Linked DNA regions of Arabidopsis thaliana. The protein of the gene in region 2 purifies or fractionates together with the protein of the main gene of each other region. This does not show direct contact. Each region holds a gene or a part of one and is shown on either strand. Other genes may lie near its edges.

Evidence for each region. The genes of interacting proteins can lie anywhere in the genome.
Region 1: the proteins of CPSF160 (region 2) and AT4G09310 fractionate together in Arabidopsis thaliana (co-fractionation; one large-scale study listed by BioGRID). This does not show direct contact.
Region 3: the proteins of CPSF160 (region 2) and AT4G09250 fractionate together in Arabidopsis thaliana (co-fractionation; one large-scale study listed by BioGRID). This does not show direct contact.

Annotation. Positions count from the first base shown.
Region 1 is NC_003075.7:5,900,418-5,906,239, forward strand, and holds AT4G09310 (SPla/RYanodine receptor (SPRY) domain-containing protein), read left to right. Parts: upstream 1-2,395; 5' UTR 2,396-2,531; coding exon 2,532-2,791; intron 2,792-3,129; coding exon 3,130-3,288; intron 3,289-3,444; coding exon 3,445-3,580; intron 3,581-3,730; coding exon 3,731-3,807; intron 3,808-3,880; coding exon 3,881-4,022; intron 4,023-4,165; coding exon 4,166-4,234; intron 4,235-4,323; coding exon 4,324-4,380; intron 4,381-4,451; coding exon 4,452-4,538; intron 4,539-4,616; coding exon 4,617-4,823; 3' UTR 4,824-5,032; downstream 5,033-5,822. Other genes in the region: AT4G09300 (LisH and RanBPM domains containing protein), read left to right, coding at 145-272.
Region 2 is NC_003076.8:20,977,637-20,983,194, reverse strand, and holds the start of CPSF160 (cleavage and polyadenylation specificity factor 160), read right to left. Parts: upstream 3,191-5,558; 5' UTR 2,946-3,190; coding exon 2,614-2,945; intron 2,525-2,613; coding exon 2,378-2,524; intron 2,046-2,377; coding exon 1,892-2,045; intron 1,785-1,891; coding exon 1,649-1,784; intron 1,308-1,648; coding exon 1,162-1,307; intron 838-1,161; coding exon 742-837; intron 626-741; coding exon 573-625; intron 395-572; coding exon 263-394; intron 155-262; coding exon 103-154; intron 10-102; coding exon 1-9. Other genes in the region: AT5G51650 (uncharacterized protein), read left to right, coding at 3,946-3,987, 4,372-4,752, 4,795-4,992. UniProt on the Arabidopsis thaliana protein: CPSF plays a key role in pre-mRNA 3'-end formation, recognizing the AAUAAA signal sequence and interacting with poly(A)polymerase and other factors to bring about cleavage and poly(A) addition.
Region 3 is NC_003075.7:5,874,436-5,879,768, reverse strand, and holds AT4G09250 (SPla/RYanodine receptor (SPRY) domain-containing protein), read right to left. Parts: upstream 3,192-5,333; 5' UTR 3,083-3,191; coding exon 2,823-3,082; intron 2,485-2,822; coding exon 2,326-2,484; intron 2,170-2,325; coding exon 2,034-2,169; intron 1,884-2,033; coding exon 1,807-1,883; intron 1,734-1,806; coding exon 1,592-1,733; intron 1,449-1,591; coding exon 1,380-1,448; intron 998-1,379; coding exon 791-997; downstream 1-790.

The DNA.
Region 1 (5,822 bases), on a different chromosome or scaffold from region 2:
GAACCAGTTGTTTATGATGGCCAAAAGTGTCATAATTACAGTCCCTAGTTGCTCTCATGTGTCTTTCAGATTTCCAGCTCTTGAAACTTTGTCAATGTACCAAGTGAGATGATGATGATGTTATGTTTTGTGAATTGTCAACAGGTCCTGAATTGGAGCGCTTGTTGAAGGAGCTGATTTGGACTCAGAATCAACTGGATGAAAAAACAGTCTATGTGTATCCACGCATGAATGATTTTTCCACTGGCCAGCTCATATACCGACCAGAATGATTCTTCTTCCCTTTCAACAACTAACGGCTCTGCAAAAGGGAACATATATAGTGATATATAACTGATCTGTCGCAAGAACATGATGACCATTTCTTCCTAGTGAGTATTTTGAGTGAGGGGGGAGTTTTTAGCCTTGCTCTTATGATTTAGGGATTTTCTTATTCATGACAATATTGGACCCCTAGGTAGTACTAATAACAAGAGAGGGTTTTTGTTTTCAAATGTTGGTTTACTGGTTAGGCTTTTATTCTCCACCATGGTATGGTTCCTATAAAGCTACATAAGAATTCATTTTGAAGTTTGTTTGGTGTGTGACCGAAGAACCAAAAAAAAAAAAACAGTTGCTCATTCTTTGTCTACTTATCTCACTATTCGGCAATGCATATACGTCCTAATCTTTGTTTTGCTTATCTTAGTTATTCTATCTCTCTCCCTTACCTAAAAAGCTGGCTTCAAAGGACTTGACGGATCGTTTATAAAACAGACTAGTCATAAACATAGATTTATATTCGAGATGGCTTCAAATACGAATCTTAAACTGTTTATAGTATATATAGTATCTAATAGCTGCGGGTGTTGTGAAAGGGAACTTAGTGTTGACCATGGTCATGGAGTTTAACCAAGAAGTTTGTTGAACCAAGGATTCACACAATAGATTTGTTTAGAGAGGGAAAACAAATCTAGTAATTTCTCTTCATTAGGTATTCTATCCAAGACTCGATTACAAGAGGGGTTCTAATCTCTTATGAAATACATTAGGGTTTTGCTCAAGAACAGAAAAAGAATTAAAGTTTTAAAAAGGTATAGCTGCATCCATGATGGATTGCCTACGTACCCTGTGAAGGGATCAAGCCATTCGTAGTTCTCAATAGGTATAAAGTTCTATGTTTCTTGTGAATATCCCAAGATCTCCCCCTTTTTGTGAAGTCCCTAAGGCACTTTATATAGGATCCTTAAACCGCCTCCCTAGCGATATTCTTCGGAAGATTCTTATTTATCCTTAGGTCGGTTCTAGAGGATAATCGTCCTAAGGATATTCTCCTTATTCTTCGGAGGTTTTGGGGAGATTTCCTGATTTCGACATTATCTTCAAAGATTCTCCTTTATCATTTCTGAAAGTCCCATAAAAGATCCCATTTTACCGGAAATGATCCTTGGAGAATGAATGGTTTTTACAAGTCTTTGCCTCGCGTGTTCTTCACGGCTCGGTGGTCGTTTGAGAGGTGGCTTCGGGGCAAACGGTATGTACCGGCTCGGGGCGCGCTTGATGACTGTCCATTAAGCTCAGTTGGCTGTCTCCCGAGCCGATATAGATGTGTCCCGCAGCGTTCTCACGATTGGCTCGGGCTGTGTTCATATGATTAACACCCGAGCCATTTTACAAACTCTCTTCGGGACGGTCGATCGAATAAGGTCCCGAGGTGCTTTGTTCTAGGCTAGGGGCCAATCATATGTTTAACCATGAGGTGATTGTTATTCTTAGACTGTTTGGCTCGGTCTTGCTTGTGGGGGAATCCGACCCCAACGAAGTTGTACCTTGACGGAAGAGAGCACGAATGGGATCGGTGCGGGTGTCTGGAAAGTGCCTGAAGAAGGTTCATGTGATGATCAAACTCTGGAATGCTACTGGGAGTACTGACTGTACCAAAACCTCCTCCAACAGTGCCACAGGGAACAAGCAAGCCCCATATCAATGTGTGATGAAGTTGAAGGAGCAGGGTCGTAAGGTGGACTTCCACAGTTAGAAGGAGGCTTGTGTGATGGAGGAGCTCCATATCCTTCGTCATAGTACTGATTTCCGGATCTGAATAAAGAAGCATGGCATCATTTGGAAGTAAGAGATCACATGAGAATACCATCCCTAGAACCGAGAGAGAAAAGTTTATGTTAATAAATTTTTATTGTATAATTGATATTGAAAAACATTAATAAACAGTGTTCACATAAGGTGTAAATTCACCCCAAAAGCACTCTAAAAAGTAAAAACCAAAAGAGAAAAAAACATAGAAATGGTTACTTAATAATATACCGAGTTTCATCTATTTACTTAATAATATACGGTTATTTGATTTACCGGTTAACTAAAAAATATCTGGTTTAATCGTATTTATTGTTGGCAAACACAACATTGGGCGCGAAGTGGTTTTTGATGCCCTTCAACAACATTTGGGGGTTTCATTTCAATCGCATTTCTAGGGTTTCTTTCTCTACGATTCAATAGATTCGGACGAATTGGGGGATTCTGACCAGAGAGAAGCTATGGAGGAAAACGAAGAGGAAGAAGAATTGCGGCCAACGGCGCTATACACGGTCGGTGGTTCAGACGAATTTACCTTTGTTTCTCCCGATGGGCTCTCCGGTCAATACACGGGCCCTGATCACGACGGCGTAGTTCTTCAGACTGAAAATCCGGCGCCGACTAACTGTCTTGCTTACTACTTCGAGGTTCATATCATGAATGCTGGTGAAAAAGGAGAGATCGCGATTGGTTTCTCCAAGGAACACATCTATAGCGAAGGGTATCGTTTTCTTTCCCTTTCAATTCGCATTTACCACTTATTGCGTGATTTGATACTCAATACAATCATTGATTCTGTTTGATTTGGTACCTGAGACTGAGAGAACAAATTGGGAAATAGGTTTAGATACAATGGTAGATCAGTAGTTCAAATCACTGTTTCAATGGTTTGGATTCGTTACTTGGAAATAGGTTATGTGATTTGCTGCTCAATTTGATTGTGTTGGCTGTTAGATCTGGTATCTTACAAGTTAATGGGAGATTTGCTTTGTTAGATGTTTTCACCTTTCAGTAATTAAGCATTCCAATTCACTGTTTCATGTTTCTCTGTAATGTTAGATATACTGTCAGAAGCTGTGCCTACATTGGTAACAGTGGACTCATATGCTCTCAAAATGGAGATGGTGATCGAACTGTTGCTAAAGCCAGTGACACCTATACAACAGGTGATTTAGTTGGTTGCGGTATAGACTCGGTTTCACAAGAATTCTTTTTCACGTAAGTAATAACTGTTTCCCTATCTGAACATGTTTCATTACAATTGGAAAAGTAGATATCAAGATACACAATTCATTTCTTCATGTCACAATGTTTTTGACATGTCCCTGCGTATGTTTTACTTGCTGACATCTATGACTACTTCTTTGATTATAGGAAAAATGGAACTATCGTAGGGACAATCCCCAGGCAATTTAGGCGTCCTGTATACCCGACAATTGTTTTGCATAGCCAAAACGAAGCTGTCACTGTCAATTTCGGCGGACAGATTGCGTTTTCTTTTGACTTTGAGGTAAGGTCGTACTTTTCTTTTCTTGCATAGTCGGAGAATAACTATTGAGTAAGCAGAATAATATGCATCTCTCACATATGTCCATATTTGCATGTATGTGGCATATTTTTCTGATACAATATTCTATTATCTGATCCACCTTTATTTCAGCATTTTGAAGAATCATTGAGGGTTAAAAAAGAAAGGGAAATTGAAAAGATTTCCATGTCTCGCAGCATTAGTCATGGGTAAAGTGTCTTTTCCTGCCTGTTCTTAATTGTAATTCTTGTTTCTGTTTGTGCTAAAGCTTCCTTTTTCCAGGCTTGTAAAAACCTACCTTCTTCGTTATGGATATGAAGATAGCTTTAGAGCTTTTAACCTGGCTGCAAGTCGTCATACTGTTATTGCACAAGAAAATAGTTTTGATGAGTATGAATTGCATCAAAGGAAAAAGCTCAGAGAGGTACTTTTCACTGCTATGGTTATCTTGCTGTAATTTTTTTTTTATTTTTTTTCTGTGAGGTACAAAATCAACCAAAAGCAAGCTACATTGCTACATCTTTTCTGTTTCATATCGAACTGATCCATGCATTCTGTTTGTTAAAGCTTATAATGACTGCTGAGATTGATGATGCTATTGCTGCACTCAAGGATAGATATCCCCAACTTATTGAGGTGGGCTGAGTAACTAGTTAATATATCGAGTGATTCACATTGTTAACATTCCTTGAACTATTTTAACAAGCTGCTTGTATCATATGCAGGGTGGATCAGAAGCTTATTTTCTTCTTATCTGTCAAAAGATTGTCGAATTAGTACGGGTATGTTCTTTATTCCTTGTATATTTGTTACACATATCCATGGTGTGTTTCTCTAACTAACTACAATGCAGAAAGGAGCAATAGCAGAGGCTAAGTCATTTGGAAATCAAGATTTTAAAGACTTTAGGGATTCAAGCCTACTAAAAAACCTTTTCGATGTATGTAGTGATTCTCTAACTGTTAGATTAGGTTTCTCATATTTGAGTCACTAATAGTTTTGTTTTTCTCTATTTCAGGATTGCTCTGCTTTGTTCGAGTGTGAAACTATAGAAGAATCAGGTGCTGCATATCTTCTAGGAGAAACACAGAAGAACATAGTAGCAGCTGCAGTCAGTGAAGCGATTCTATCTACAAATCCGGCCACCAGAGACCAGCAATCTGCTTCACTTGAGCGAGTGCTTAGACAGTTTGAAGCCACCTGCTCACTCTATGCTCGTGAATAAAATCTTGACTTTTTCTGTTTTTCTTTTTATCTTTTCTCTTGATAGAGTCATTGTGTAAGCTCAAATGTTCTAAAACTAGCGATCATACTTTAACTTGATTCACAACTATATACGAGATTATATTGGAGCTTGAAAATTTTTATTTACAAGTATTTATCTACAAATCGGCAAATATTGAGCTGCTCATACTAATTTTGATAATTTAATCGGCTACAAATTTTAATGACATGTTGTTGTTAGCTGTAAGTTAAAATATGAAATCGAAAGTCTTTTGTTTATTGCTTTCAACTTAAGCCTTTGTGATTACAAGCTATGTCTATTTATACATCTAGATTGATTTAACCTAGTGTCTTCTTGATTTGCATAGCTGTCACTTGGCTGTTATGTGGCGTCGTTGTCTTCACATGATTCAAGAGCCTCATAGCGATTCCTCGTCGTTACTTCCGTACTGCGTGGAGATAAGGACCGCTCTGCAACTTTTCTGCTTTTGTCCTTTGTTGTTGCAGGTTGTCGTTGCACTATGTTGGGCTTGGCTCTTGGATTGGGCACTTGTTTCGGATTGGGCTTTAATGGTTTTGAGCCCAATTCCAAAACTGTGTCGTTTGGAGCTGTTCTGTTGATACTCCCCCTCAAACTTGGAGGAGGTGGGAAATCGACACCAAGTTTGAATCGGAGAGATTCGAAAGGAGCCTTGGCGAGAGACTTTGTAAATATGTCAGCGAGCTGTAGATAACCCGGGATATGATGGACGATGAGCTCACCAAAAGCTACCTGCTCTCGGACATAATGATAGTGAGTTGCAAAATGCTTTGTCCGAGCATGAAACGATGGATTCGCTGTAAGGTAAACGGCAGAGAGGTTGTCGCAGAAGAGTTCGGGGAGCTATAACTGCGGAACACCCAAATCACGAAGTAAATTGACTAGCCATGTGATTTTCGAGGCTGTATCGGACATAGAGCGATATTCAGCTTCGGTTGAGCTTTTGGCGACTGAGACTTG
Region 2 (5,558 bases):
AGTAATGTCCTGCAAGAAATTTGGTATATCATCATAGGGAATCTCTAATCGAACAGGATCCAAATTGAAGTACAAATATGCTGAAAGAACATATTGACTAACCGAAGCAAGCACAGAGGCTTTTGATTTGGAAAGATCAAGTCTCTGTACAGCACTTCAAAAAAGAAAGTAGCAGTCAGTTTCACATATTTTAAACAAAATAAGTTGCAGCCAGCTTTACAAGCGTCAGAAGATTTTTTTTTAAAGAAGATCAAAATACTACCGCCCATCATATATAAGAGTCAGCAGCAACAATTCCCCAGATTTTGTCGACAATAGGGCCACATCGTTCGATATCCAGGTTCCATGGGCAGCATCAAGCTCCACACTGAAATTTGATGCAGGCAGTTCTTGACTGAAAGAAATCAGACGCACACAGAGATAGAAATGTGGTTAACAGTATAAACAGAGTTTTACAAATGTTGAAAGTTGATTCTAAGCTTTAGGATTCTAAACTAAGACTGAGGTAACAAGATTATATCCATAAGCATGAAGCAGGTTTTGAAGAGTGGGGAGGTGCGAGAAAACTGTACCTGCTATCAGCTGAGGAGGCATAATTGTTCAGTGCCAGAGCACAGGAGGCTGACTACAAATATATATGGTATCCAGATGTGTGAGTAACTGTAGAACTTTGAGGTGGAGTGGCTGGAATTGTTGAATTTTAAACAAGAAACAACCAAAAGCTAAGTAATATAAAACTACCTGACTATGATAATGGATTGTATTTGCACACAACACAAGAACACCTCCGATCGGAGATGGTACTGCAAGTAGTTTGTAGGCATCATGGGGCAGATTCTGGAAAATACCAAAAGAATGGGAATAAGTATGATCAGGGACTAACGTTTGCCGAAGTAACTATTTCAGTCATGAAATAGCTTGTTATTTTAGGAAATTTTTCCTAAAGAAAGATCAACTCTTTGAGCATTCTAAACAAAAAATAGAGCATCGTCATAGCTGATTGGAAAGTCTAGTCATGTAACAACAGTGGATATTCAATAACCTTTTAGATGACTTCAATTTCTACCCTTAGCTTACAATATAGTTAATAGTGCAACTCAAATATTTAATTTCTTGGGAAGAGATCTATTATAAGATACAAAGAGGAAAATACGAACATACAATAGCTGACCAGATGACTGGGTGTTGTTTTAATGTCGAATTGATACTAAGGGCAGAAAGCACGCAAGTATGGTGCTTCCATGAAACTCGCCCAGCCCAAGTATGCTCTTCTTCCTGAAGGATGACAATTACAGGCTCAATATAACCTGAAGAAGACACAGGATGCAAAAACACATAATCAAAAGAAGCACCACTTAGTTTATTCTTTATGCCTACTGGGAAAACTAGAATATCTAAAATTTCAGACAGCTAGTTATTGAAAAATCAAAGAAACAATACATTTCCTCTTGTTTCAAACTGTAATCATGACCAGAATACATCAGTTGTCGTATTGAATCTACAAACAACAACTTAGTAAGCTAGATCCATTCAAGGACACAAGATTCGATGCAAGTTGAGCAGCTAAGAAACAATCATCATAATATATTTATGATTAACTACTGATTCAGAGATAAGTTTATGAAGAAACCTTGCTTGCTAAACCTACCATGTAGAAAAACAAAATCTTTGACGTGTTTCATTTCCAGATCACGCAAGTTAATTATGTAAGATGATTCAACTCGAGCAGAAACTGTCCCTCCAGAACTGAACGCATCATCATCTCCAACTAGTCCAGAACCAACCTAAAACCCAAAATAAAGTTCATAAAAGAAAAGAATGAAGGTTGGAAATTTGTAGCAGATAAAGCGACAGTTAAGATGAAGTTGATTAATAATGCCAAAACAAAAACCTGGGAAGTCTTGAGTATGATCATCTGCAAACCATAAACAAGAACGCCGCCACATCTGCCTTGAGGATCCACTTTTACCAAAGGGCCTCTTGGAAAAGACTCTCTTCCTCTTTTCAGATGAAGCCAATCTGGACCCTCAAAACAATGCATCGAACTGAAAAGGAACCACATATCCATTATTATTTGTTGAAGTCATGTATAGGAGTCAATGGTACATAAATTAGATAACTAGAAGAAACAATCAGACATAGACAATAGAACGCTTCAGTATATGATCCAATACTACGTAACTTGCATCGCTAGAAACAATAACAATGCGTAAGTAAAGACCAAAACTTTGAGAAGTATAAAACAGTTAAAACAATAGTTGGACACAGAACATCTCGTATATAGGTCAAAAGAAACAATTGAGAGGAGACAGAGCTGAAACTAAAGCTGAATTCATTTATTTATTTACCAAAACCAACAAAAGCAAAACACTCTTACGTCATCCTAAGGCTGTGAATTGAATCATCAAACTCAAGAACTGAAATTTTGGCGTCGCGAAATGTCAATATAATCGAATCTCTTCCCTTAGAAGAATTACCACCTCCCATAGGAAGAACCGCAATTGACTCAACATTACCGTGCAACCTACAATCCAATACCAATCACATCGTCACTTCAAAGTCAAAGTACCAAAATTGGAGTAATTTAGGAGGTAATTGTCAACAAACACGTACCTATAATGGCACACGAGCTCGAGAGAAACACCATAGACACCATCCATAACTCCACCACGCTTAGCAAGCTTCGGATTCCTCAGCTCCTGAGTATTCCCTTCCTCTTGAGCCCTAACGATGTACACCTCAAGGATATTTGCGGCGGTTATAACGACGTTGGGCAAAGGACCAATACCTCGTTTAGGATTAGGCCACTCAGCTTCAATATCATCATGAACGGAAACAATCGGAATCTGTAGCGTTGAATCGGAGAGAGAGTGGGTGATATAGCCGGAAGCACAGTTCTCGACGCCGGTAGGCCAATGCATCATCTTATAGGCCGCGAAACTCATCTTCTCTACCGGAATCTGGGATTCAGAGATTCTAATTCTAAAAATTGAAATTGAACTAAGAAGATTGGGAAGTGAGTGTGAGAGCAATTTAGGGTCTCGATTTTGTGAACATTAAAAGATCAAATCCTTAAACCCACGGGTTTTAATTTTAGGTTGGTTTTTTTTTTTAAGGGGAAACAGTATATACTCTTTATTACGAGTTTGGTCTTTACGAATTTCTTTTCCTTTAGTTTTTTTTGGGGATTATTTGTTTGCAAAAAGAACATGAAATATTTTGCGAAATCCGTTATATGTATCAAACTTGTATTGTCCAAAAAGTAATACATTTTTAAAAAAATAAATGTAATGTTCTGTTTTTAAAAGCATTAAATCAATGATGATGTGGATGCATAAGAATTGAGAAGAGAAGAGAGGAACTTGTTATGAACTTTCTGATTGGGACACATATACACATCTTTGGTCAAATGATGTTTTTCCAATGATCTTTATTTTGTTTATAATTTTCTATATCGTTTGTCAACAAATAATGCCCAAAAAAAGAGGTATTTCTTATCACTATCTATGACACACCAAAGCCAAAGGGAAGATAGTCCAATCTTTATTTAATACCCAATATATACCATGAAACCAAATTTCTTCTAGAAATATACTACAACATAAAAGTAGTGGATTTTGCACCATGATTTTGTTTTTGCAACATAAAAGTATTAGAAAGTGTTATCAATCATTTTGAGTTTCATTACTGCATTAAAACTTTATATATCGAAATATATCATTTTGTAAAATATTTTTGTTTTCCTTTTTAGTTCTAAAAAAGATCCTTAGTATCAAATTTCCCCAAAAATCTTTATACTTCTAATAAAAAAATCTCAGCAAAAATATGTAAGAGATAAACGTATTTATTATTTATGTTTTAGATTGTGTTTTTGTAATTAGTATTTTAACCCCTTAAACAACTTAGAGACGATAAAAAAAAATATAATTTTCACTTAGAAAGAGGATGACAGTAATTGTTTTGGAGAACAAGGGGATGCCTTATAAGGTTTATGAAAACAAATGCTAATAATTAATTGATTTAAAGATACGTTCATATAATATTTCTTATTAATTGTTGAAAAATCTTGAAAAGGAAAATAACCAACTTTGGGCTTCCTCTACTTCTCACCTCTTGTCCTCATAAAATAAGAAACCTCCTGCAAGTCTCTGTGAAACGATTTTGAGTGTTCCTCCCCCATACAAGACGACAACAATGATAGCTTTAAGTTTAACCACCTATAACTACTCTTTTTACATACTTCTTCTTCTGCTTCATCCTCTTTTTCTCCAAATTTTTATCTTATTTCTCATTACCAGAAGAAAAAATGTCAAGGAAGAAAATTTTTACACTGTGCTTGTTAAAACTATTCACAAAGAGATACTCTCTTAGGCTCCAAAGCCTCGATTCCTTTTCGAGGATTTTTGGCATCCTTTAGTGGCCAAAGGAGTTCAACGTGTGGTTCAGGAGAGGAAAGAGGGACTTGAAGCTCAAGGGAAAGAAGAGGGAGTTGAAAAGGTTCTTGTGGAGAAGGAGAAAGAAGAGGCTCATGTCTCATGGGAAAAGGATGGATCTGTGTCTGTTGCATACACATATGCCATTCATCACTTTAACCTTGAACGTGACCTTATCAACTACTCCAAGTGGACTGTTTCTGCACCTGGTAACGAAAATGACTACTTTGATACAAAAATCCTTGAAGAAGAAGTTGGCATTATCTGGGATCTCAAGGAGAAGAAGAAGGACAAGAAGAAAGAGGAGGAGGAGGATGACGTGGAGAATGACATAAGGAAGCTTATTTCTCTGTGAATCAAGTTTGGAAGTAAAATCAAACTAACTACTGCAGATTTAAGGAAACTGGCAAACGACAAGCAGCAACTTAAGAAACTTCTGAGAGAGTTTGAGAAAAAGAACGATGAGTTTATTGAAAAGTTGATGAAGGAGAAGAAGCTTGAAAAGAACAAGCGCAAGAAGGGGAAGAAAGGGAAAACGTTTATTGTTAATCGAGAGTGAGGATTTTGATTTATTTTCAAGTTAAGTTTGATATAATAAAAATCTAATAGTCTAACCAAATGTAGTTCGGTTTAGTTTAACTAATAATCTAGTTCAATTAAAAAAGTTGGACATACACGATTAAACTAATTATGAAATATAACCGTAATAATTATAATATCATGCAAAATGACCAAATCAATAAAAAACTTCAAAAAAGAAAAAAGAAAAAACTCCTAAATTGTTTAGTTTATTTTTTGTTTAGTTTAATCAAAATGAAGAGTGAAGATTTTGATTTATTTTCAAGTTAAATTTGATTTAATAAAAATCTAACAGTCTAACCAATCGTAATTCGATTTAGTTTAACTAATAATCTAGTTCAATTAAAAAAGTTGAACATACACGATTAAACTAATTATGAAATATAACCGTAATAATTATATGAATTATAATATCATACACAATAACCAAATCAAAAATAACTTCAAAAGAAGAAAAATAAAAAACTCCTAAATTGTTTAGTTTTTTTTTTTTTTGACTAAAATAAGTTTGACTTTAACAATTCATAACATTGTTCTTCCTTCCAC
Region 3 (5,333 bases), on a different chromosome or scaffold from region 2:
TCATTATGTCCGAGAGCAGGTAGCTTTTGGTGAGCTCATCGTCCATCATATCCCGGGTTATCTACAGCTCGCTGACATATTTACAAAGTCTCTCGCCAAGGCTCCTTTCGAATCTCTCCGATTCAAACTTGGTGTCGATTTCCCACCTCCTCCAAGTTTGAGGGGGAGTATCAACAGAACAGCTCCAAACGACACAGTTTTGGAATTGGGCTCAAAACCATTAAAGCCCAATCCGAAACAAGTGCCCAATCCAAGAGCCAAGCCCAACATAGTGCAACGACAACCTGCAACAACAAAGGACAAAAGCAGAAAAGTTGCAGAGCGGTCCTTATCTCCACGCAGTACGGAAGTAACGACGAGGAATCGCTATGAGGCTCTTGAATCATGTGAAGACAACGACGCCACATAACAGCCAAGTGACAGCTATGCAAATCAAGAAGACACTAGGTTAAATCAATCTAGATGTATAAATAGACATAGCTTGTAATCACAAAGGCTTAAGTTGAAAGCAATAAACAAAAGACTTTCGATTTCATATTTTAACTTACAGCTAACAACAACATGTCATTAAAATTTGTAGCCGATTAAATTATCAAAATTAGTATGAGCAGCTCAATATTTGCCGATTTGTAGATAAATACTTGTAAATAAAAATTTTCAAGCTCCAATATAATCTCGTATATAGTTGTGAATCAAGTTAAAGTATGATCGCTAGTTTTAGAACATTTGAGCTTACACAATGACTCTATCAAGAGAAAAGATAAAAAGAAAAACAGAAAAAGTCAAGATTTTATTCACGAGCATAGAGTGAGCAGGTGGCTTCAAACTGTCTAAGCACTCGCTCAAGTGAAGCAGATTGCTGGTCTCTGGTGGCCGGATTTGTAGATAGAATCGCTTCACTGACTGCAGCTGCTACTATGTTCTTCTGTGTTTCTCCTAGAAGATATGCAGCACCTGATTCTTCTATAGTTTCACACTCGAACAAAGCAGAGCAATCCTGAAATAGAGAAAAACAAAACTATTAGTGACTCAAATATGAGAAACCTAATCTAACAGTTAGAGAATCACTACATACATCGAAAAGGTTTTTTAGTAGGCTTGAATCCCTAAAGTCTTTAAAATCTTGATTTCCAAATGACTTAGCCTCTGCTATTGCTCCTTTCTGCATTGTAGTTAGTTAGAGAAACACACCATGGATATGTGTAACAAATATACAAGGAATAAAGAACATACCCGTACTAATTCGACAATCTTTTGACAGATAAGAAGAAAATAAGCTTCTGATCCACCCTGCATATGATACAAGCAGCTTGTTAAAATAGTTCAAGGAATGTTAACAATGTGAATCACTCGATATATTAACTAGTTACTCAGCCCACCTCAATAAGTTGGGGATATCTATCCTTGAGTGCAGCAATAGCATCATCAATCTCAGCAGTCATTATAAGCTTTAACAAACAGAATGCATGGATCAGTTCGATATGAAACAGAAAAGATGTAGCAATGTAGCTTGCTTTTGGTTGATTTTGTACCTCACAGAAAAAAAATAAAAAAAAAATTACAGCAAGATAACCATAGCAGTGAAAAGTACCTCTCTGAGCTTTTTCCTTTGATGCAATTCATACTCATCAAAACTATTTTCTTGTGCAATAACAGTATGACGACTTGCAGCCAGGTTAAAAGCTCTAAAGCTATCTTCATATCCATAACGAAGAAGGTAGGTTTTTACAAGCCTGGAAAAAGGAAGCTTTAGCACAAACAGAAACAAGAATTACAATTAAGAACAGGCAGGAAAAGACACTTTACCCATGACTAATGCTGCGAGACATGGAAATCTTTTCAATTTCCCTTTCTTTTTTAACCCTCAATGATTCTTCAAAATGCTGAAATAAAGGTGGATCAGATAATAGAATATTGTATCAGAAAAATATGCCACATACATGCAAATATGGACATATGTGAGAGATGCATATTATTCTGCTTACTCAATAGTTATTCTCCGACTATGCAAGAAAAGAAAAGTACGACCTTACCTCAAAGTCAAAAGAAAACGCAATCTGTCCGCCGAAATTGACAGTGACAGCTTCGTTTTGGCTATGCAAAACAATTGTCGGGTATACAGGACGCCTAAATTGCCTGGGGATTGTCCCTACGATAGTTCCATTTTTCCTATAATCAAAGAAGTAGTCATAGATGTCAGCAAGTAAAACATACGCAGGGACATGTCAAAAACATTGTGACATGAAGAAATGAATTGTGTATCTTGATATCTACTTTTCCAATTGTAATGAAACATGTTCAGATAGGGAAACAGTTATTACTTACGTGAAAAAGAATTCTTGTGAAACCGAGTCTATACCGCAACCAACTAAATCACCTGTTGTATAGGTGTCACTGGCTTTAGCAACAGTTCGATCACCATCTCCATTTTGAGAGCATATGAGTCCACTGTTACCAATGTAGGCACAGCTTCTGACAGTATATCTAACATTACAGAGAAACATGAAACAGTGAATTGGAATGCTTAATTACTGAAAGGTGAAAACATCTAACAAAGCAAATCTCCCATTAACTTGTAAGATACCAGATCTAACAGCCAACACAATCAAATTGAGCAGCAAATCACATAACCTATTTCCAAGTAACGAATCCAAACCATTGAAACAGTGATTTGAACTACTGATCTACCATTGTATCTAAACCTATTTCCCAATTTGTTCTCTCAGTCTCAGGTACCAAATCAAACAGAATCAATGATTGTATTGAGTATCAAATCACGCAATAAGTGGTAAATGCGAATTGAAAGGGAAAGAAAACGATACCCTTCGCTATAGATGTGTTCCTTGGAGAAACCAATCGCGATCTCTCCTTTTTCACCAGCATTCATGATATGAACCTCGAAGTAGTAAGCAAGACAGTTAGTCGGCGCCGGATTTTCAGTCTGAAGAACTACGCCGTCGTGATCAGGGCCCGTGTATTGACCGGAGAGCCCATCGGGAGAAACAAAGGTAAATTCGTCTGAACCACCGACCGTGTATAGCGCCGTTGGCCGCAATTCTTCTTCCTCTTCGTTTTCCTCCATAGCTTCTCTCTGGTCAGAATCCCCCAATTCGTCCGAATCTATTGAATCGTAGAGAAAGAAACCCTAGAAATGCGATTGAAATGAAACCCCCAAATGTTGTTGAAGGGCATCAAAAACCACTTCGCGCCCAATGTTGTGTTTGCCAACAATAAATACGATTAAACCAGATATTTTTTAGTTAACCGGTAAATCAAATAACCGTATATTATTAAGTAAATAGATGAAACTCGGTATATTATTAAGTAACCATTTCTATGTTTTTTTCTCTTTTGGTTTTTACTTTTTAGAGTGCTTTTGGGGTGAATTTACACCTTATGTGAACACTGTTTATTAATGTTTATTAATGTTTTTCAATATCAATTATACAATAAAAATTTATTAACATAAACTTTTCTCTCTCGGTTCTAGGGATGGTATTCTCATGTGATCTCTTACTTCCAAATGATGCCATGCTTCTTTATTCAGATCCGGAAATCAGTACTATGACGAAGGATATGGAGCTCCTCCATCACACAAGCCTCCTTCTAACTGTGGAAGTCCACCTTACGACCCTGCTCCTTCAACTTCATCACACATTGATATGGGGCTTGCTTGTTCCCTGTGGCACTGTTGGAGGAGGTTTTGGTACAGTCAGTACTCCCAGTAGCATTCCAGAGTTTGATCATCACATGAACCTTCTTCAGGCACTTTCCAGACACCCGCACCGATCCCATTCGTGCTCTCTTCCGTCAAGGTACAACTTTGTTGGGGTCGGATTCCCCCACAAGCAAGACCGAGCCAAACAGTCTAAGAATAACAATCACCTCATGGTTAAACATATGATTGGCCCCTAGCCTAGAACAAAGCACCTCGGGACCTTATTCGATCGACCGTCCCGAAGAGAGTTTGTAAAATGGCTCGGGTGTTAATCATATGAACACAGCCCGAACCAATCGTGAGAACGCTGCGGGAAACATCTATATCGGCTCGGGAGACAGCCAACTGAGCTTAATGGACAGTCATCAAGCGCGCCCCGAGCCGGTACATACCGTTTGCCCCGAAGCCACCTCTCAAACGACCACCGAGCCGTGAAGAACACGCGAGGCAAAGACTTGTAAAAACCATTCATTCTCCAAGGATCATTTCCGGTAAAATGGGATCTTTTATGGGACTTTCAGAAATGATAAAGGAGAATCTTTGAAGATAATGTCGAAATCAGGAAATCTCCCCAAAACCTCCGAAGAATAAGGAGAATATCCTTAGGACGATTATCCTCTAGAACCGACCTAAGGATAAATAAGAATCTTCCGAAGAATATCGCTAGGGAGGCGGTTTAAGGATCCTATATAAAGTGCCTTAGGGACTTCACAAAAAGGGGGAGATCTTGGGATATTCACAAGAAACATAGAACTTTATACCTATTGAAAACTACGAATGGCTTGATCCCTTCACAGGGTACGTAGGCAATCCATCATGGATGCAGCTATACCTTTTTAAAACTCTAATTCTTTTTCTGTTCTTGAGCAAAACCCTAATGTATTTCATAAGAGATTAGAACCCCTCTTGTAATCGAGTCTTGGATAGAATACCTAATGAAGAGAAATTACTAGATTTGTTTTCCCTCTCTAAACAAATCTATTGTGTGAATCCTTGGTTCAACAAACTTCTTGGTTAAACTCCATGACCATGGTCAACACTAAGTTCCCTTTCACAACACCCGCAGCTATTAGATACTATATATACTATAAACAGTTTAAGATTCGTATTTGAAGCCATCTCGAATATAAATCTATGTTTATGACTAGTCTGTTTTATAAACGATCCGTCAAGTCCTTTGAAGCCAGCTTTTTAGGTAAGGGAGAGAGATAGAATAACTAAGATAAGCAAAACAAAGATTAGGACGTATATGCATTGCCGAATAGTGAGATAAGTAGACAAAGAATGAGCAACTGTTTTTTTTTTTTTTGGTTCTTCGGTCACACACCAAACAAACTTCAAAATGAATTCTTATGTAGCTTTATAGGAACCATACCATGGTGGAGAATAAAAGCCTAACCAGTAAACCAACATTTGAAAACAAAAACCCTCTCTTGTTATTAGTACTACCTAGGGGTCCAATATTGTCATGAATAAGAAAATCCCTAAATCATAAGAGCAAGGCTAAAAACTCCCCCCTCACTCAAAATACTCACTAGGAAGAAATGGTCATCATGTTCTTGCGACAGATCAGTTATATATCACTATATATGTTCCCTTTTGCAGAGCCGTTAGT